4 linked regions of the Drosophila melanogaster genome follow. The protein of the gene in region 4 interacts with the protein of the main gene of each other region in a pairwise test. Each region holds a gene or a part of one and is shown on either strand. Other genes may lie near its edges.

Region 1 (3,749 bases), on a different chromosome or scaffold from region 4:
TCTGAAATATACTAACATTATTGAAAATTTCCTATAAGTCAAGTAAACATTTCGGAAGTGCTACTAATGTTTTGTAACTTGTTTTGTCTTTTGTGATGGTTAAAGGGTTTTTAAAAGGCAACATCTTTAATTATTTTCTTTCGATTCTTTAACTCTACTGACTACATTGTGCATATTCGTATTGATCCCCTTGAACCGAAACCCTGGTACGCCCCTGGTTCATTCGAAACATCCATCACTTTTTGCTGCGAAGTGAAAGAGGATGAAGGATATAGGATGCAGATGCAGGTTACAGGATGGAACTTTTAAGATATGGTATGTGGGATGCAATCATCTAGAGTGGGCAAAACAAAAAAAGAACACTTCAGATGCGGAAACCGCAATGAATACACTGCGACATCTGCAAGGGGCGTGGCAGTGCGCCCAATTGGAAGCAATTAATCCCACAAACCAAATGGCAAGCGAAAAAAGCAAAGTTCTTTGCGAGCTCTTATTTCTGAGTTCATAACAAATATCCTGTTAAGAAGGCACCGTGTCAGTTAATTTACTGTAATTTATTAAAGTTTACACTCGAAAAAAAACCTATGTTCTATTTGGATGAGTAAGTGGATTCGGTCTTCTTGATATTGAGAACGCCGTTGGAATCGGTGGCACCCTGGATGTTGGTCACCTTCTGGTTGCCACTGGCATCGACAACGGCCACGGTCTGCTGGATTTGGGTGGCGGGAATGGGTCCAACTCCGGAGATGTGCTGATAGCTACCGGTGCTTCCTACTCCGCTGTTGCTGCTGATGGAGGCTGCGCTGGTGTAGCCATTGTAGGTGGGATAATAGTTGTCGCCTCCAGTTAAGGAGCTCTCGCCGAAACGCTCATCAAAGGACACACCACTGGAAATTAAAACGATCATTAGTGATCATCAATAGAAGTCCTCATTTTCCAGTTAACTCACCCAAGCACTGGAGCAGCGGCCTGCTGGGTGTAAGAGGAGCCAGAATGACCGGAGCCATCGGCATTCTGAACGCTGTGTGAGGCGTAGGTGAAGACGTTTCCTCCACTGGAGGACGAGGAGGATGATGACGAGGAAGACGAACTGGACTGACGACGCAGACGCCTCAGGAGATGGGCATTCACGGGATGGACATTCGACTGGTGGCCCTCCGAGTCCAAGGTGAAGAAGGCACGGGGCAGAAACTGGCCAGCTGTATGAATAAAGAGCAATGAATTCAGCGATAAGTATCTGAAATCTATGAATATAGCTTTAAAGCTTAGATTTCGTTCACATCTCGCCCTTATTTACCACGATTAAATATTTTATGAACTTTTACTATTGAATTTATTTTTAATATTATGAAAACCTTTGAATAATTACATATACTTAGCATATATACCATGCAGATTTATTCCAAGTTTTTTATGATAATGCTAATCCCAAAAGTATGCTTATAAATCTCAAACATTCAACAATGGCAATTTCTTTTTTGAGTGTGAAAGTTTGTCCACTCAGCGATCGCGTGAATAATCAAACGTAATGCTGATTTTGAATAGCCATATTTTAGGAATCGTAATAAAAAGCGAATTTGTTGTGCGGAAAGTTTTGCTGGACAAACATTGTCGCAAAGTTAATGAGCTACGCGAATTTCACAAACCAGTTTGGGTTTCCGGATGGGTTCGATAGGTTTTTGGGTATTATTAACATACTAGCACCCGTCGACCGACTTGTTAATTCAATTAATAATAAACACGATAGCAGCTCCGACTAGCGATGATGTAAGTGCACAATCCGGCTTAAGCTCTCCTCAAATTATACTCAAATTTGCTTTTTTGCTCACCGGAAGAGGCCGAAGCGGTAGTAATCGCAAACAAAGCGATGGCAATCACAGCGTACTTCATTGTGAAGCGGTATGGATCTGTAAGAACACACACTTCGTCACTTAGTAGGGTTAATTCAGCGGTTAGGGGTATGCAGAGGGGCCTATCTGCGGTTAAGCACTCACAAAGACGAAACGAAAGACTGAGGCAGCGAACGCGTGAAAAGTTCCAAAACGACTAAGCTCGCGGTGCGGCTCCCTAGCGCTTATATATGGAAATTTCGAATGCTGACGCAGTGCGAACCATCTACATCATTATCATCTAAAGCTGGAAGAACAAGCAGAAGCCGTCAAACAGGCAGAAGAGTTGGGCAAATAACTCCACCGGTAGGTAGACTGAACAATAAACAAATACAGAAAAAAAAACAAGAGGCAGGCATTTAAAGTTTCTTAAAACCTCTGGCTGTGGCTCATAAACGTAAAGTTAGGCTCAATGATTCATAAGGTTAAATACTATCACATCTCTCAGTTAATTTCCCCTCTCTGCAGCAGAGTTTATCTCACATATAAATCCACCCAAAAAGTTAATGATTATGGGAAATAAACACATGACGAAGCAGCGAAGCGCCAACGGGGAATTTCTGTTCTGTTTGTTTTCACTTTATTTGTATTTCGCATTATATATTCGAACGCCAAACTGTTTTGGCCAGCTCGTGTAAATTGGCCAAGTGCCCTCGCTTTTTCTTATTGTACTTTTTTTGTACCCAGTCTGCGCCTTGAGCTCTGCTTTTGACCCGATTCGTGTTTTTGGCAATAAAGAACTTCTCGAACTTCTTCTCTTGGGCTTGGGGCAATAACCTGATTACAACGTGGCCAACACCTAACAAACGGAGTTTCAGAGAAATATTATGCATTATACATACATTGCCGATCATAAAGCTAAACTATATATACTCATTTGTTTAATGGCTGGCATGCGTCCACTAATTATAATATTTTGTGAATTTTAATAATATTATGCCTCGCTCGGTTTTACCGCTCCATCTGTTTGAAACAAAACTGGTTTTGATGGGATTTTCGATTGATCTTGCTCGACGAAATGAAAACAAATTTTGTTATTTAATTTTACATTATCATATATGTATATTCCAGGAAATCCTTTCAATTAACCGGTTATTTGGGGATTATTGTTTTTAATTGCCTAAAATAAATCTAAGGCTTTGATCAATCAAGAAATAATTGAAGACAAGTTGTGCAACACAAATTATATTGCATATACACATTTTGCACGTTTTGCTGATAGAAGTAGGGTATTTCTAACAAGTACAATTAAATAGACATATGTACTTTTTTCAGTAAAATATTACCAATTTTTCACGCACTACTTAAGCCAATCTACCACCTTAATTCCGTTTTTTTTCTTTTGAACACATGAAAAAATTCAATTCCTTAGATTTATATTAATCTAATTGAAATCCACAAATTTGTTGCCATTTGTTGTGCAGAAGTATTTTTGAATTTCGCACACGTTCGTTGGCAAAAATATGTACAAATATTGAATACGAAAAAGTCAAGGAAAAATTCCATTCTTTTTCTCGCAAAAATGGTGACAGAGCAAAATGCTGACCGCCGCCTACTAGGAAAAATAATCCCCAGCCGATTTGAACGATTTATTATTTGGCCCAGCCAACTCGGAGCCTGTCCCGGAATACCCGGAACCATTAATCATCCGAGTCCAGATCCAAGTCCGAGTCCGAGTGGTGGACAGGCGGCATTGCAATTGGTGGACATTTTGGAGTGGAAGAAACTTTTGCGGTACGTGGCAACGTGTTGAAATTACAAAATGTGTTAAAAAATGAAAGAGCAGGGCGGGTAAAAAGCAAAATAATATATTTCATTCACACACAGACTTTTGTCTCTGCTCCGCCGTCCATATAAAAA
Region 2 (4,795 bases), on a different chromosome or scaffold from region 4:
TGGAAACTGGCCAGACGCTGGATCGGAAGGTGGGCAGAATGGAAACGCGTTTAACAAGTTCAGAGATCCCCAACAGGAGCTGGATAATCATCAGCCAAACAAGAGAGGGGGCCGAAGAAATAGAGGCGGTGGCGGAGGAGGTGGTGGTTGGGGTGGCAGGCGAGGGAACCGCGGCAGAGATTCCAATAGGCGTGGTGGCCGTAACAACTCGTGGCAACCTAAGGATCAGCATGTTAGTCCTGGCCAAAGTAACATGCTGTACTTCGATAATGTGGGGGACTTTACCGAAGACCCACCTCTGCCTCGATCCTCGCCTGCTCCCTCCTCTCTCAGACAGGAGAGCCTGCCACCTGTTACTTTCGCTGCGGACTTGACGCCACCACCACCTGTATCTGTTGCACCACCTGATGTGGCTGTTACGCCAGAAGAACCTACTGTGCCGCTAATCAATATCAAGAAGGAGAAAGAAATGGAGCACAAGTCAAAAATAAAGCAATTTGTCAAAGCGGAGCCCAAATCTCCTAAAAAGAAGAAGGTTAACTCCTCTAGGTCGTCATCTACTTCGGGAGAGGAGTCTGAACCCGAACCAGGGGAAATGGTAGTCAACACTAAGGCAGTGGTGGTGCCGTCCCCAAAAGCGAAGGCCATCAAAACACCTGTAGCATCAACTCCGAAACCAAAGGCTGTAAAACCAGTTTCGTCCTCCGACTCCTCAACTTCGGACAGCGACACCGATGATGAACAGAGTCATCCGCCGGCAAAGAGTAAAAAGATGGAAAAGAACACCGAGGAGGATGTTGTCTGCATGGGCTCTCAGGAGCGCCAGTTTACCATTACCGATGAGGAGGAAAGCACCGAACCTGAAGACGACAAGAAGGCCAGAAAGCAAAAAAACAAGGGTAAAACCGTGGATGTGTGTGGCATATGCGACAAGAAGGTAAATATTTTAAAAGAATGTTACCCAATTTAAAAAAATCTCTTCCAGGGCCACACCTCCTTCCAGTGTCAGATGATATGTCGTAATTGCTCCGGTAGTTATCATGGTCTCAAAAACTGTCCAAACCCGCCCAATCTAAATATTGCCATCCAGTCGTTTGTGGAGTTTGCCATGCAGCAAATGACTGCCTTTCATTGCGAGCAAGGATTTGGATTTCCTGCTGGCACAGTCACAGCTCCAGTTTCAGCAAAACCCAAAAAGGACAAAAAGGCGTCAATAAAAAAGATAAAGAAGTCTTCACAGAAAAGGATGAAGGTGGAGCCGAAAGATCATGACGAAGAAGATGACGAGGAAGATGACGACGAAGATGAAGATGACAGCAGCGAGAGCGATGACTCGGAGTCCAGCGAAGAGCCTCACCCAGCTCCTGTGTCCAAACAGAAGCGGAAACGAGGCACCAAAGCCTCCGTATCGGCCGCAGCCAGTCTACCTCCTCAAGTGTTTCCATTTCCCCTTCTAGGCGCCCCGGGCGCCCCTTTTAACTCCATGATGTATTCTTATAGAGCTCCGTTTAATTTTTCTAAATAGTTATAGCGTGAGTTAGTTGTAAAGGAACGTGAAAGATAAATACATTTTCAATACCAATGGATTTAGTTCTTTCATTTTAATATTTACGGAATTTAGGAATTACGCCTCTGTTGTTTAAAACGAGAATGAAGTTGAATTAATTTTTGTACAATACATACCGGGGAATAATATCGATAACCAGGGCAGACCTATTTATCGAAATGTATCAGCCGACGCAGCCCTGGTTTTGTGTTTTGCCAGCTGTTGCTTCCACGCTTTTGAATAAAAAATCAAATTAATAGTGTTTACTAGGAAAAACGTATGAAACTCAGTGAAAAAACTTTGCAAAAAACTTTTGGGTAAGTGTATTTACCTAAATTTATTGGTTTTCTACGATTAAATCTCAAGAGCTTTGAGTTTTTAACTAAAGGATCCAGGTGTCTGATTTTTAAAGTTATACTCAACTTATTTATAAGGAAGCATTTTAAACGATAAAAGAAAACATAGTACATAAATTTAGGACATCATATTGAAAATGAATATTCCTGGACTCTGAAGTATGTAAGTGCCTCGGAAACGAAATATACAAGTAATTTTTAGGGCTACTTCCCGCCAGAGCTAAGGCATCCTGCTTTAAGATCAATTTTCCTTGCCCTGTCTGCTTGACAGGATCCTAGGGTATGCAGAGAGCCAGGGTCTCGCGTTCCTGCTCGGTGCCGCAGGACACTGGGTGATTCTGGCCCCGGGGATCGATGCCTGGCTTGAGCATCGTCTGCTGCAGCTCCCAGATGATTTCACACGACTGGACGCTCACGGCCAGCTTAAGCACCGACTGATAGTTGAGCGGATTAACCGCATAGCTGAGGATACCCCTGGCAATCTGCTCGAACAAATAGTTCCTGTCAAGCAGAAGGAGCTCCTCTCGTACCTCCATCATACGGTTTTCAAAGTGGCACTGAATCGCTGCAAATACCAGCTTGTCCAGACCCACCAATAGATCCCGCTTAAACTTCACCAGGTAGTGCTCTATGAACACGATCTGGTTGCGATTTAGATGCGGCAGGCGCACCTTGTCCTGTATTACCTGTTCGCCGATCTGGCTGACAACCAGAGAGGCTAATGATCCCGCCGGAGTGGCCCGACGTTCGCTGCACGGGCGGACGTCCACGAACGGATGAATCTCGTAGCTGCCCACGCCAATGGTGCTGGCTACACCGCTAAATGATACATGGGAGGCGCGCGAGTGGTTTTTCGGCTGTTTGGCCATCGACGGAGGCACTTCCATGGCTTTGTGGTCTCTGGCGAATCCAATGATCTGATAAGCTTTCTGCAGGCGGAATGAATTAGTGGTATGTCAAGAGGGACTGCTATTAACACTTACGTAGTGCACATATTTCTTTGCATCGCAGACAAAATCCTTAATGCGCGAGATCAGCACCTGCAAGGCACACTCATCCTCGCTGAGATCGTCGTTTAAACCAGAAATTATGTAGTCCAGTATATATTGTGCCGCCTTATAGATGGGGTCGTCTGGTGCGAAGCTGAGAGCGGTCTGACCCTCCATGGCAATGGCTGCATTCAAGGCGTAACAAAGATCACTGTCTAACAATCCCTCAAAGGTGGCCTGATACTCATCGCAGAATGATGGCTTGCGTTCCTGAAGTGTCGACTTCTTCTTCTTGCGGCGCTTTCTTTTGGGCTGACGAGCAGTGATGGCCTTTTGAGCTCTTTCCTTAATCTCGTCCTGAATCCGTTGCCACTTTTCTCTGTAATGAGCCTTGTGCCTGTCTATAAACGCCTCTCGCTCTTTTTCCACCTCCTGCAGGAGGTATTCGATCCTACGCTGATTAGCAATTCGCTCATCAAGTCGCTTCCTCCACGACTGAATCTGGTGCTCAGTGTTCTTTACCAGCCGTTGTTTCCTCAGGATTCGCATGTTTTTGTTGAACCGATCCTTTTTGAACTGGAAGAGCTTCTTCTGTTTGATCAATAGCTTTCTCATCAAATCCTGGCACATGCTTATGTGGGCAGCTACACGCATGTTTGTCAGCATCTTGCGGTGCTCCAGCAACATATTCTGCATGGTGGCCAGGTTCTCTAAGCGCTTAAACTTCTCATATGTGATATTCAGCAGATGGACCTTTCTTTCGTGGCGTTCCTGCTCCTGTAGTTTCTTTCTGGCAAGAACCTCCTCAGTGCACTGGTGACGGGCTGCGAGATTCTGGTGATCCTTTTTTGTGATGGACTCCGCGTTGGCGATCAGCATTCGATCATATTGCTCCGACTCGCGCCGCTTGTATGCCTGCAAAATGTAGTACAACTGCGATTTGTGCAGCTCCTGGCGATGCTGATTGAAGTCCTTCAGATTGCATATTACATCGTTGTCCTGCGTTATCTCACCGTTTTCCCTCAACCGCTTCAGATTACGCTCATTGGAGTAGAACGTCTTTAGGTTGGAGTCGTGTAGCGGATTGTACTCCGGGATGTGTTCGGTAACGGAACACTCAAACTCCTGTTTACCGCTCTTGAACTGGTGGATATGTATGAATGATGATGATAAAGTAAGGTTCTAGCTGATTTTCTACTGGTAGCACTTACGTCCTGTCCGATCTTGTTCTTGGAGAATATGACCTGATTGCCGGGACATTTGAGCATTGGCAGCTTGCAATTAAGAGGGATCAGCTCCCATCCGGGTAGACTGTTGATGGGTAGTCCAGTCTTGTAGGAGATCATCTTTAGCAGGGCCGGGTTTCCGGACACCTTATTTCGCCGCGGCAGCGACAAAATATCGATCATCTTGTCGCTCTAAACTTACAGTAGCCTAAATTATTTGTGCTTAACATTTACTCTCTGAGCGTTCCAAGAAAACTAATTTCGAACAGTGCCTTATGAAAATGTAGTAGCCCCGCCTACTTTAACAATATTCTATACTTTTTCCCTGCCGATTGTATATTGACTTTAGTCAATAGTTTGCAATATAAAATATATATATTCTTAAGCAGTCTCAACAACCGTTTTATAGCTATCTGCATGAATCTGTGGTCCCATCCTAAGAGGCCGAATCGGGATCGAAGCTGTCATTACCCTGGCTCCAGCAGATTCCAGGGCGTTAGTTCGGCTTACATAAATCCTCGGTTGACTATCCTCCTCAATATTTCGCTGTCTCTATCCGGGCTTATGTTCCACCCGCTTTTTCCGACCGCTGACCCAGTTTGGCGTCCGTGGATGATTCTAGATGCGGGCATCTCGGGCATAAATATTTACCAATCGTTCGGTCCGGCGCCAACATGT
Region 3 (4,424 bases), 670 kb from region 4:
TTGATTTTCAACGCCCCCCTCCATTAATTCGACTTTGTGCGGGATGCAGATACTTCATACTTCATTGGCAGATATGTAGGTGGATAGGTGTTTTCGATACCCAATGCGCACCTGCACCTTCCGATTCGTGTCAGTTTATTCAGGTAGATTGCTGAGCTGAGCTGAGCTGAGCTGTGCTGCGTGTTTACTCTGCTCCAGCAGGCAGCCAATTCATTAGCTGTTCCTACTTCGCCTTTGCTGCAAATGGAAGGAAAGACAACATGAATGCTGCACACAGTGCGTGTGCACCGAGAGATGCTGATGAAGAGTCATCCCTTTTGGCCACACCATAGAATAACCGAACGCAGCGTAGTCATACATATACCAGCTTATATTCCGGGCCAATTGCTTTGCTGCGCTTTTGTCTTTTCAATTACGGACGAGCTTCAAAGTCAAACTTTTGTGCAATTATACTGGAAGACAATTTGCCCTGTCTCGATTTTTATGAGCGCACAAAAAGTTTTCCACCAACGGAATAGGAACTTTTCCCCGGCAACAGTTTCCATTTCGCTGTTGTTTTCCCTTCAAGACAGTTGATTTTTAATTTCGTGTCGGCGGTTCCCAGCTTCATTACTTCATTTCAACGGGGGAAATATTTGACGGGTTAAAGCAAAACTTTGCCGCTCTGAAGTAAAGCTGCTGCTGTTGAAGATGCTGACCCTCCTCCTTTCTTGGAAATGGACACCACAGCAGCGGGGGCTGCTAATGAAACAGGAGCTTCCGTACAGGACACCGGATCCGAGAACCCGGAATCTGATGATAAGGTCAGCGGACTTGGTCGTAAAGAGGCGGCGGCCATAAAAGCCAATTGCTGGTGAAAATGTTGTTTCCTTTTTTTTTCCCCCGAACCGAGCTGGCGACAAACGTGGCACTTTCGTTTATCAGGGTGGCCGGCCTTGAGTTCGGGTTCGGGATATTAATAAACATGTCTTCAGAGTCCACGCTCCGTTGGCAGGACATTATTCTTGACTGCCCTCCAATTCGGGATCCTTTGTGGGGTTAATGTGGTCGCTCATTAGTGGGGTAATTGGCAGCTAATTGGCTTGATGAGTACCAGTCATCTTGATTCATCGTGATTGGCCCGGCCATGGATGAGTCTTGTCTTCGAAAAATATGAACTTAAGTTTCAGATTCCTATGGGAGTTCTACTCGAAGCTTTTAAATTGATATCAGGTACTTTTCTGCGCCATCTCACGCTGCGAAAATGTAATCAAAGTTTGCTGATTAAAGTGAAAATGTGCAGAAATTATGAATCAATTTTCCGAAGACGACGACAAGCGAAGTGCAAAGTCATCAGTGAGCTGCGAAAGTGGCATCCAGAGTTTTAGCCGCCAATCACGGAAATTTGCATAGTTCTTCGCGCTTTTAACTATGGACTACGGATGGAAAAACCAGGTCAAATCCCTTGAAAGGTGTGGACGTAAAAGTGCCAGCCATTTCGATGTCCATATTGCATTTTTACTTTGGCTATTAATACATTTTCACTCAGTAAATTCCACATTATTGAATTAAATTAATCCTGCCGCTGTCGATTTTATTTTAAATATATTCATTGGCAACAAACGGTTGATATGTTGGTTTTTGTGTGCAGCAATGATATTATTAATACTTCGGATTATATTGTTTTGATGTGGATAAACACATCACCAACATTTTTTCGAGTCAAAAGTAATGAAATTAAATTGGCTTGCCATTTGATTGAATTGGAAAAATATGGCTGCCAAGTAGGCTACAACACAATCTATCAAAGAAACTTAGATCCGGAACTCAGTTCATTTTTATACTCCTAGTGTCTGGATGTTATCAAAGATTTCAGTAGTTTTTAAAGGAATCGGTTCGTGTTTGATCAGCAGTAAAGGCCACACAACGAGGAGTTTTACGTATATTTTTTACCAACCATGGATAGCACGTCAGCCAGCGTAGTGTATACGAATTCTTTTTACGCTCCAAATTACTCGGACACCCAGCAGCCACAGCCACAGCTGCAGACTCAGCAACAGATGTTCCATGCCAACTACATCGTCGGAACCACATTGGGTTCTGGATTGGGATTTAATTTTGCACCAGCCCCCATTCCCCAGGCGAGTGCCGCTTCCGGTTTGAGTCCCAGAGGCATGTACAGTGATCTCTACCGCTACGAGGATGGAAGCGGCGATGCCAGCGGTTCCTTGCTTCTGGTCCAAGAGGATGACCACTTCTGTGGTGCAGAGGCGGACCAGCAGTTGGTGGCCAGCACGTCGTCCTCATGCCCGATGGCGAGTTCAGGCGAGTCCGTGAGCATTGACACAGAGCAGGAGGCGGAACGGGATCTTCAGATGAACCAATGTGAGACGCTGGAGCGGGAAGAGCTGAATGGAGATATAGGGGAAATGGGGGAAATGGAGGAGCTTGCAGAGGAGGTTAATGGCGAGCAGAGGCCGCCGCTGTTACCCTGCATGGGTGGCAACACATCCTACATGGTGTTCCCGCGCACCGCCGCCGACTACATGCCCCGCCTGGCGCTCCCGCGGCATAGGCCCTATATAAGCATCGGTCAGGAGCAGTACGTGATCCAGGCGGAAACTGTCTTCGTGCTGGGCATGCGCCTCAATGTGACCAAGAACGACATCATCCTGTTCTTCGGCAAAGTGGGCGTTATCAAGATGGACGAGTCGACCAACAAGCCGAAGATCTTCGTCTACAAGAACAAGATAACGGGGCGCTCCAAGGGTGAGGCCACTATAACCTATGTGAGTCCATTCTCTGCACAGGCGGCGATTAGTTGTCTGAGTGGGGCCAAGTTCATGGGACAGGTGATCACCGTTCTGCCCGCCTACCTATCCACCCGGAGGGGCAGTGTCCGGTACAGTTATCCGCGAGAGCTTAATGCGCCGGAGCACCAACGTCGCCAGCGGGCAATGAAATGGAAGCCAGCCATCGACAATTGGGTGTGCATGCTCTGCCGGAACAGCAACTTCGTCTGGCGTTCCAGCTGCAACAGATGCCAGGCGGACAAGGTGGTCGCTCCTCAGAATAACGAGGGAAGTTCCTGGGCGGGATCACGCGAAGAGGACGGTGCCCCTCGTCGTTGGCGGCCATACAGGAACGACTGGCTGTGCAAGATTTGCTATAATATGAATTTCTGGTACCGAGCGAAGTGCAATCGTTGCCACGCCCTGCGTTCCGATGAAATGAAGAGCTCCGAGTCGACGGAGGAAGATACCTGGGAGCTGGTTCTGAATCCGCCCATTGCAGAGTAGAAACAGTCCAGTCCACCTCGTTCTGTCTGTGTCTGTGTCTGTATCTATACGTGTTATCTGTTTTGTGTATCCGCATCTTTTTGTACGAAGGACACTTCTGCCTTCTGCATCCTGCTCCTTCCGGACTTCTAAAAATTTCAAGTGATTGGAACGCGAACTGCGTCGTGATATCCAGATGCAACTTCAATTGAATTGAATCGATTCGATGCGATGCCCATGAGCTTGTGAGCCCCATCCAAGAACAGCAAGAGCCAAGAACAAAAGACACCTAAATTCCTGTTAATGCCCGTCTTAGAAAAAGGCGTTTGAATGCAATGCCGCCACCATATACCCGCCGAACCAGTCTTTGTCCCCAGAGCAGAGATCCTCAGATTGCGGGACAATGCAACTTGCTGAATGGTAATCCACTTAATCCGGGTAACTGAATATTTTACCCAGGCACAAAAGGCAACCGGACCCACCTGGCCAGCTCTAAACGTTTAATGAATTTATTTACTTTCCCGACGCGTGCAGTCAGTGGCTCAGTGGCTCATTGGCTCTGCGGAACTGCACTGTAAATCGAAATATTATATTCAATGAAGTCTAAATTGTTTAATAAAATTAATCTTCTATTCATTTATTTATAGAAAGGGTGAACTCGTGGCTTTAAACTATCACAATGAAATTTCAAAATTTCTGAATCCCCCACAGCAAATCCTTGACTCAGATTGTTTTCTGTGTGCAGTGGCATCAAGCCACTTGAATCCATGTCCCACAAGTCGCTCGCCAGCCCCATCCTCCTACTCCTCCTTTCTATCTACCTCGTCCTTTTCTGTCATGTGATTTAATCAAACTTTGCGTCAGCCGAATCTGTGCCACAACAGCTTGGCTGGTTGGTAGATGGTGCGGCTGGTGAGTTGCTCTTTTGGCTGCACCCGCAGTTGCGGCTGCCCTCGTCTGCCGCATGCCACGCCCCCCTGCTCCATTCACCAGTTCACCAGAGGCGGCGCCTGGCAGACTTTGTGTTGTGCATTTACTTTGCACTTTCTTCCACGCGAGCGGACAAGGCACCTGGTGGGAGCTGTGGAGTGTGGAGTCCGGAGTCCGGAGTCCATCGTCCCTAGTCCATAGTCCATAGTCGGTTGTGCTTGGTCTGCCGCCTGCGGG
Region 4 (3,776 bases):
GTGCCCATAATATATAAAATATGTCGAGATTTGCTTCCTTTTAAATGAATAATTTAACTTGGTAATTTTCCACTTTGTTATCTACCGTTAAAAGCTTTTTGAAGAACAAGAAATTACAAGAGCTGCCTTTCTGATGAAAATTTCAGAACCAAAACGAAATTCACTCTAAGTTTCTAATCTATTTCACCAATGAATTTAAGTCTGATAATTTCTCACTTTTTCCTTACAGATTTTCAAGCTTCTTTTTTGAGGCCTTCACCACATAAAACTAACGAGCATCGCGAAAATATTCTATCTTTTATTATCTTTTTTTGTTTGCCTCTCGATTCGGAGAGATTTAGCAAAAGAGGAAAGAGAATCACCCCTGGCATCAAAGAGAAAATAACGAGCATCAAGAGAGCCCACTTATTCAATTGCAGTCCCTATCCACAATATCCACTATCCACATACACATAGTAATATATGTAAATGTACACCCATCTAAAAACAAACTCATTTGTATTTTGTGCATTCAAAAAAAAGAACACTTATTTATTGTCTTTGGAGACAGGCGAATTTGGAATTGTTGTTTGTGAACGTGAATATAAATACTACATCATATGTACGGGTATAAAAACGTGAATATCAGGCTTATTCGAAGTACTTCTTGAACTCCAGGCATCCGGCCCAGTTCTCCTCCCATCCGGGAGTCACCTTCTTGGCGTTCTCGTACCACCTGTTCACATTGGCGTACTTGCTGATCTCGAATTTGGCCACCTCGAATGTGGACACGGTTGCCACCAGGGCAATGTCGGCTACGGTAAGGGAGTCACCGGCGGCGTAGTCCTGTCCCTCCAGGAAGGTGTTCAGGAACTCGAAGGCGGCCTCGATCTTCTTGAAGGCCTCTGGATCGGCGGGCGCCTTGGCGAACACCTGTGGGTAGTAGTAGTTGGCGAAGCTCTGGTACAGCGTTCCCATGTCGAAGTACAGGCGCTGATTGATCACGGCGCGCTTCTTGGGGCACTTAGGGTACAGGGAGTCGGTCTTGCCGTACTTCTCCACCAAATACACCTGGATGGCGCGGGACTCCCACAGCGCGAATCCGTTGTCCACCAGCGTGGGAATGGTGTGCTGGGGATTGATCTTCAGGAACTCCGGCTTCAGGTGCTCACCGGCCTGCAGGTTGAGCAGCTTCTTGTTCAGCTCGACGCCCACGGCCTTGGCGGTCATGATCACGGAGCGGCAGGGGGAGGAGCCGGGCAGGTAGTAGAAGTCAACCATTTTACTGTAGAAGTTCGAAGAACTATCATTTAGTTACAGTGCTCGCAATAAATAATTTGTAGCCAACTTGTTAAGAAATATTATTATCTTCGCTAATTTCTAACCAACGGTTATTTAAAAGCTTAGGGCATTCATTTGTATTTCTAATTTGGGTTTTAAATGGAAGAAGAATCAAGTTGAAAAGAAACTGAAAACAATTGTGAGTCCGCCATATTTGATTGGAGTGAACAAATCTCCAACTTCTTTTCAAATTTAGATGTGAGCACCAAACTTTTTCAAGCATATCCACAAGCGTCGCATTCATATTTAAATTAACAATCTCCCCCTTCTTGAGACCCAAATTGCTTCTGTATTATACACATTATCCATATGGCATGCAAACAGAATAGATCTGGATGCTAGAAAGATATGCCACAATTAGACGCGCTCTATAATTACAAGTTCAGCAAAAGCGGACTTTAATTGGGCCGCCATTACAGAAGTTCACTTGGCTATGATGTCATATCGGGGCTATAATACGTTCAAATGTTGGTAATTTTCCATGCTGCCAATATTTCCTTTTATTTTTGACCAAACACAGGCACACAATCACAAAACACAATATATATAGAAATTGCTGTGGGGAACTTACATTTTTTTCTTCTGTTGTGAAACTCGCGATGTACACTGTATCAAATGAAAAGTAGCACTGAACGGAATTCGAAGAGCGAGCCCACTTTTATAGGGGCCGGCTGTGGTCGCCACAATGCCGGCAAACAAGAGTTGTAGCTTGAAGCGCCCCGCGGGGCGTGGCAAGGTGGGGAGAGAGGTACAGAGAGAGAGAGAGGGGGCTGCTAGTTGTTGTCGTGCCTGGGTTTTTTTTTTGTCTTCTATTATATTCTGACTTGCCCACACATACCCACTAATGGCGGGCAAAAATGTGACGTTAGCGGCGTGATTAATACACTGTTGTGTGGCCATGGGTGTGTGGAGACGATTGATAGTGTGTGTGTGCGTGCTCTGGAGGAGGTTGCACTCTATCCGTTCCCTCATACACCTCCACCATACCCCCGCAAAAGAAAGCTGCAACTTTCTAATGATCCTCCATTGGAACGAAGCCTTTTACTCGCTTAAGAACAAATTTTGTTACATTTCTTTATAATTTCTGATTTTAACAAACAGATAACAAAGAAGATACAATCCTGCCATACAGGTATTATTAATCGTAGGGTATTTACACATCGACTTGCTAAGATTAGCAAACACATAAGCATGCAATCGATTAGCTTGAAACACAATTTTGCATTTCTAATGAACATCTGTGCGCCTGAAAAAACATAAATTCTTTTAAAATGCAAAAAAAAATAAGTACAAACAAATAAGCAGGCAAACAGAAACCAGATAAGAATTCAAGCCGGCCGGCAAACATTGATATCAGGCAAACATATATGTATGTATGTACATATGTACATATATAGCAACAGTTGTCGAGTATTTCCAACACACAAGCAAATCGCGAAAGGCTCATACCGTACTAATAAGACCATAAAAATATAACCGTTTTTCGAATTATTCAATATACTTTGACTCATAGTAATAATTTTAATGGGTAAGCCCAAGCTATGGTAGACAAATAGTAGTAGATTAAATGATGAGTCAAAGGCACATGCAAATTCGAAATTACTGGTACACATTTTCAATGTAACAATATGGATGGGCTTAGTCCATATATCGATCGACTTTTATTGTTTGTGTTTGTTATGACGGCCTTGGGTTTTAATAAGTAATTGCTGTGACCATATAACATGAAAAGGAATACTAGACTTTCATTTCTTGGAAGTATTTGATACTATCAAAGGCGAACACTTGAATATTCCTGCTACACTTCGCTGGGGGTATTTAATTTCCCCAAAACAAATTCGCTTTTATCAGTTTCACAATTCGCAATACCAACTATCAGCATGACCGGGCAAAAAAATTCAATAACAAGTAGGAAAAAATGGAAAGAGCATTTTCGTGGGCGACACGTCAAACAAATTGCGCTCTTAACGTCGAGAACAATCCACAAAACGATTGTGAAATCAAAAATTCCGAACCCCAAGTTCCGAGAGTTACTCATTTGAACATAATGCCGAAATCCAGCTGAATCATGGGAAACACGAGATCGTAAGTATAAGTTCGCCAATAACTGGTTGGGTTAATTCACCAAAAAGCCGGCCCAAAAGGTAGCGTAAAATGTAGAGAAAGGTCACTGTGTTTGCCACTGCAGATCAAAAAAACCAGTTGGACGGCATTGCCAAATGTGCGTCACAGGAAAATAAAGTGAAAAGCGCAAACTATTTAAAGAGCAAAGCCAAAGAGAATGGATAGGACGAAGAGCCCCAATAATCTCTTACCTCCACATCATCGAGATCTTCTGCCGGCCTCCCATATGAGCACATTTAGCCTACATACATCTACTTTCTCGATTCCGTTTGCCGGTGATTCGCTTTGTGTACAGCTGCGCTGATCTTTCTCCGATCTCCGCTTTAGAATAC

What was found.
Region 1: the proteins of GstD1 (region 4) and hui interact in a two-hybrid assay, tested with the Drosophila melanogaster proteins (one large-scale study listed by BioGRID).
Region 2: the proteins of GstD1 (region 4) and Dus1 interact in a two-hybrid assay, tested with the Drosophila melanogaster proteins (one large-scale study listed by BioGRID).
Region 3: the proteins of GstD1 (region 4) and CG14718 interact in a two-hybrid assay, tested with the Drosophila melanogaster proteins (one large-scale study listed by BioGRID).

Annotation. Positions count from the first base shown.
Region 1 is NT_033778.4:14,806,724-14,810,472, reverse strand, and holds hui (hase und igel), read right to left. Parts: upstream 2,055-3,749; 5' UTR 1,891-2,054; coding exon 1,830-1,890; intron 1,200-1,829; coding exon 950-1,199; intron 888-949; coding exon 590-887; 3' UTR 542-589; downstream 1-541. Other genes in the region: kn (knot), read left to right, coding at 3,412-3,623.
Region 2 is NT_033779.5:268,697-273,491, reverse strand, and holds the start of Dus1 (dihydrouridine synthase 1), read left to right. Parts: upstream 1-1,747; 5' UTR 1,748-1,863; intron 1,864-1,865; exon of another isoform or gene 1,866-2,177; coding exon of another isoform or gene 2,178-2,831; intron 2,832-2,885; coding exon of another isoform or gene 2,886-4,034; intron 4,035-4,102; coding exon of another isoform or gene 4,103-4,300; exon of another isoform or gene 4,301-4,404; intron 4,405-4,795. Other genes in the region: mbm (mushroom body miniature), read left to right, coding at 1-937, 986-1,525; CG3345 (uncharacterized protein), read right to left, coding at 2,178-2,831, 2,886-4,034, 4,103-4,300.
Region 3 is NT_033777.3:11,698,809-11,703,232, forward strand, and holds CG14718 (uncharacterized protein), read left to right. Parts: upstream 1-1,805; 5' UTR 1,806-1,937; coding exon 1,938-3,278; 3' UTR 3,279-3,912; downstream 3,913-4,424.
Region 4 is NT_033777.3:12,367,312-12,371,087, forward strand, and holds GstD1 (glutathione S transferase D1), read right to left. Parts: upstream 1,958-3,776; 5' UTR 1,892-1,957; intron 1,283-1,891; exon of another isoform or gene 1,265-1,282; 5' UTR 1,261-1,264; coding exon 631-1,260; 3' UTR 506-630; downstream 1-505. UniProt on the Drosophila melanogaster protein: Conjugation of reduced glutathione to a wide number of exogenous and endogenous hydrophobic electrophiles. Has DDT dehydrochlorinase activity. May be involved in detoxification.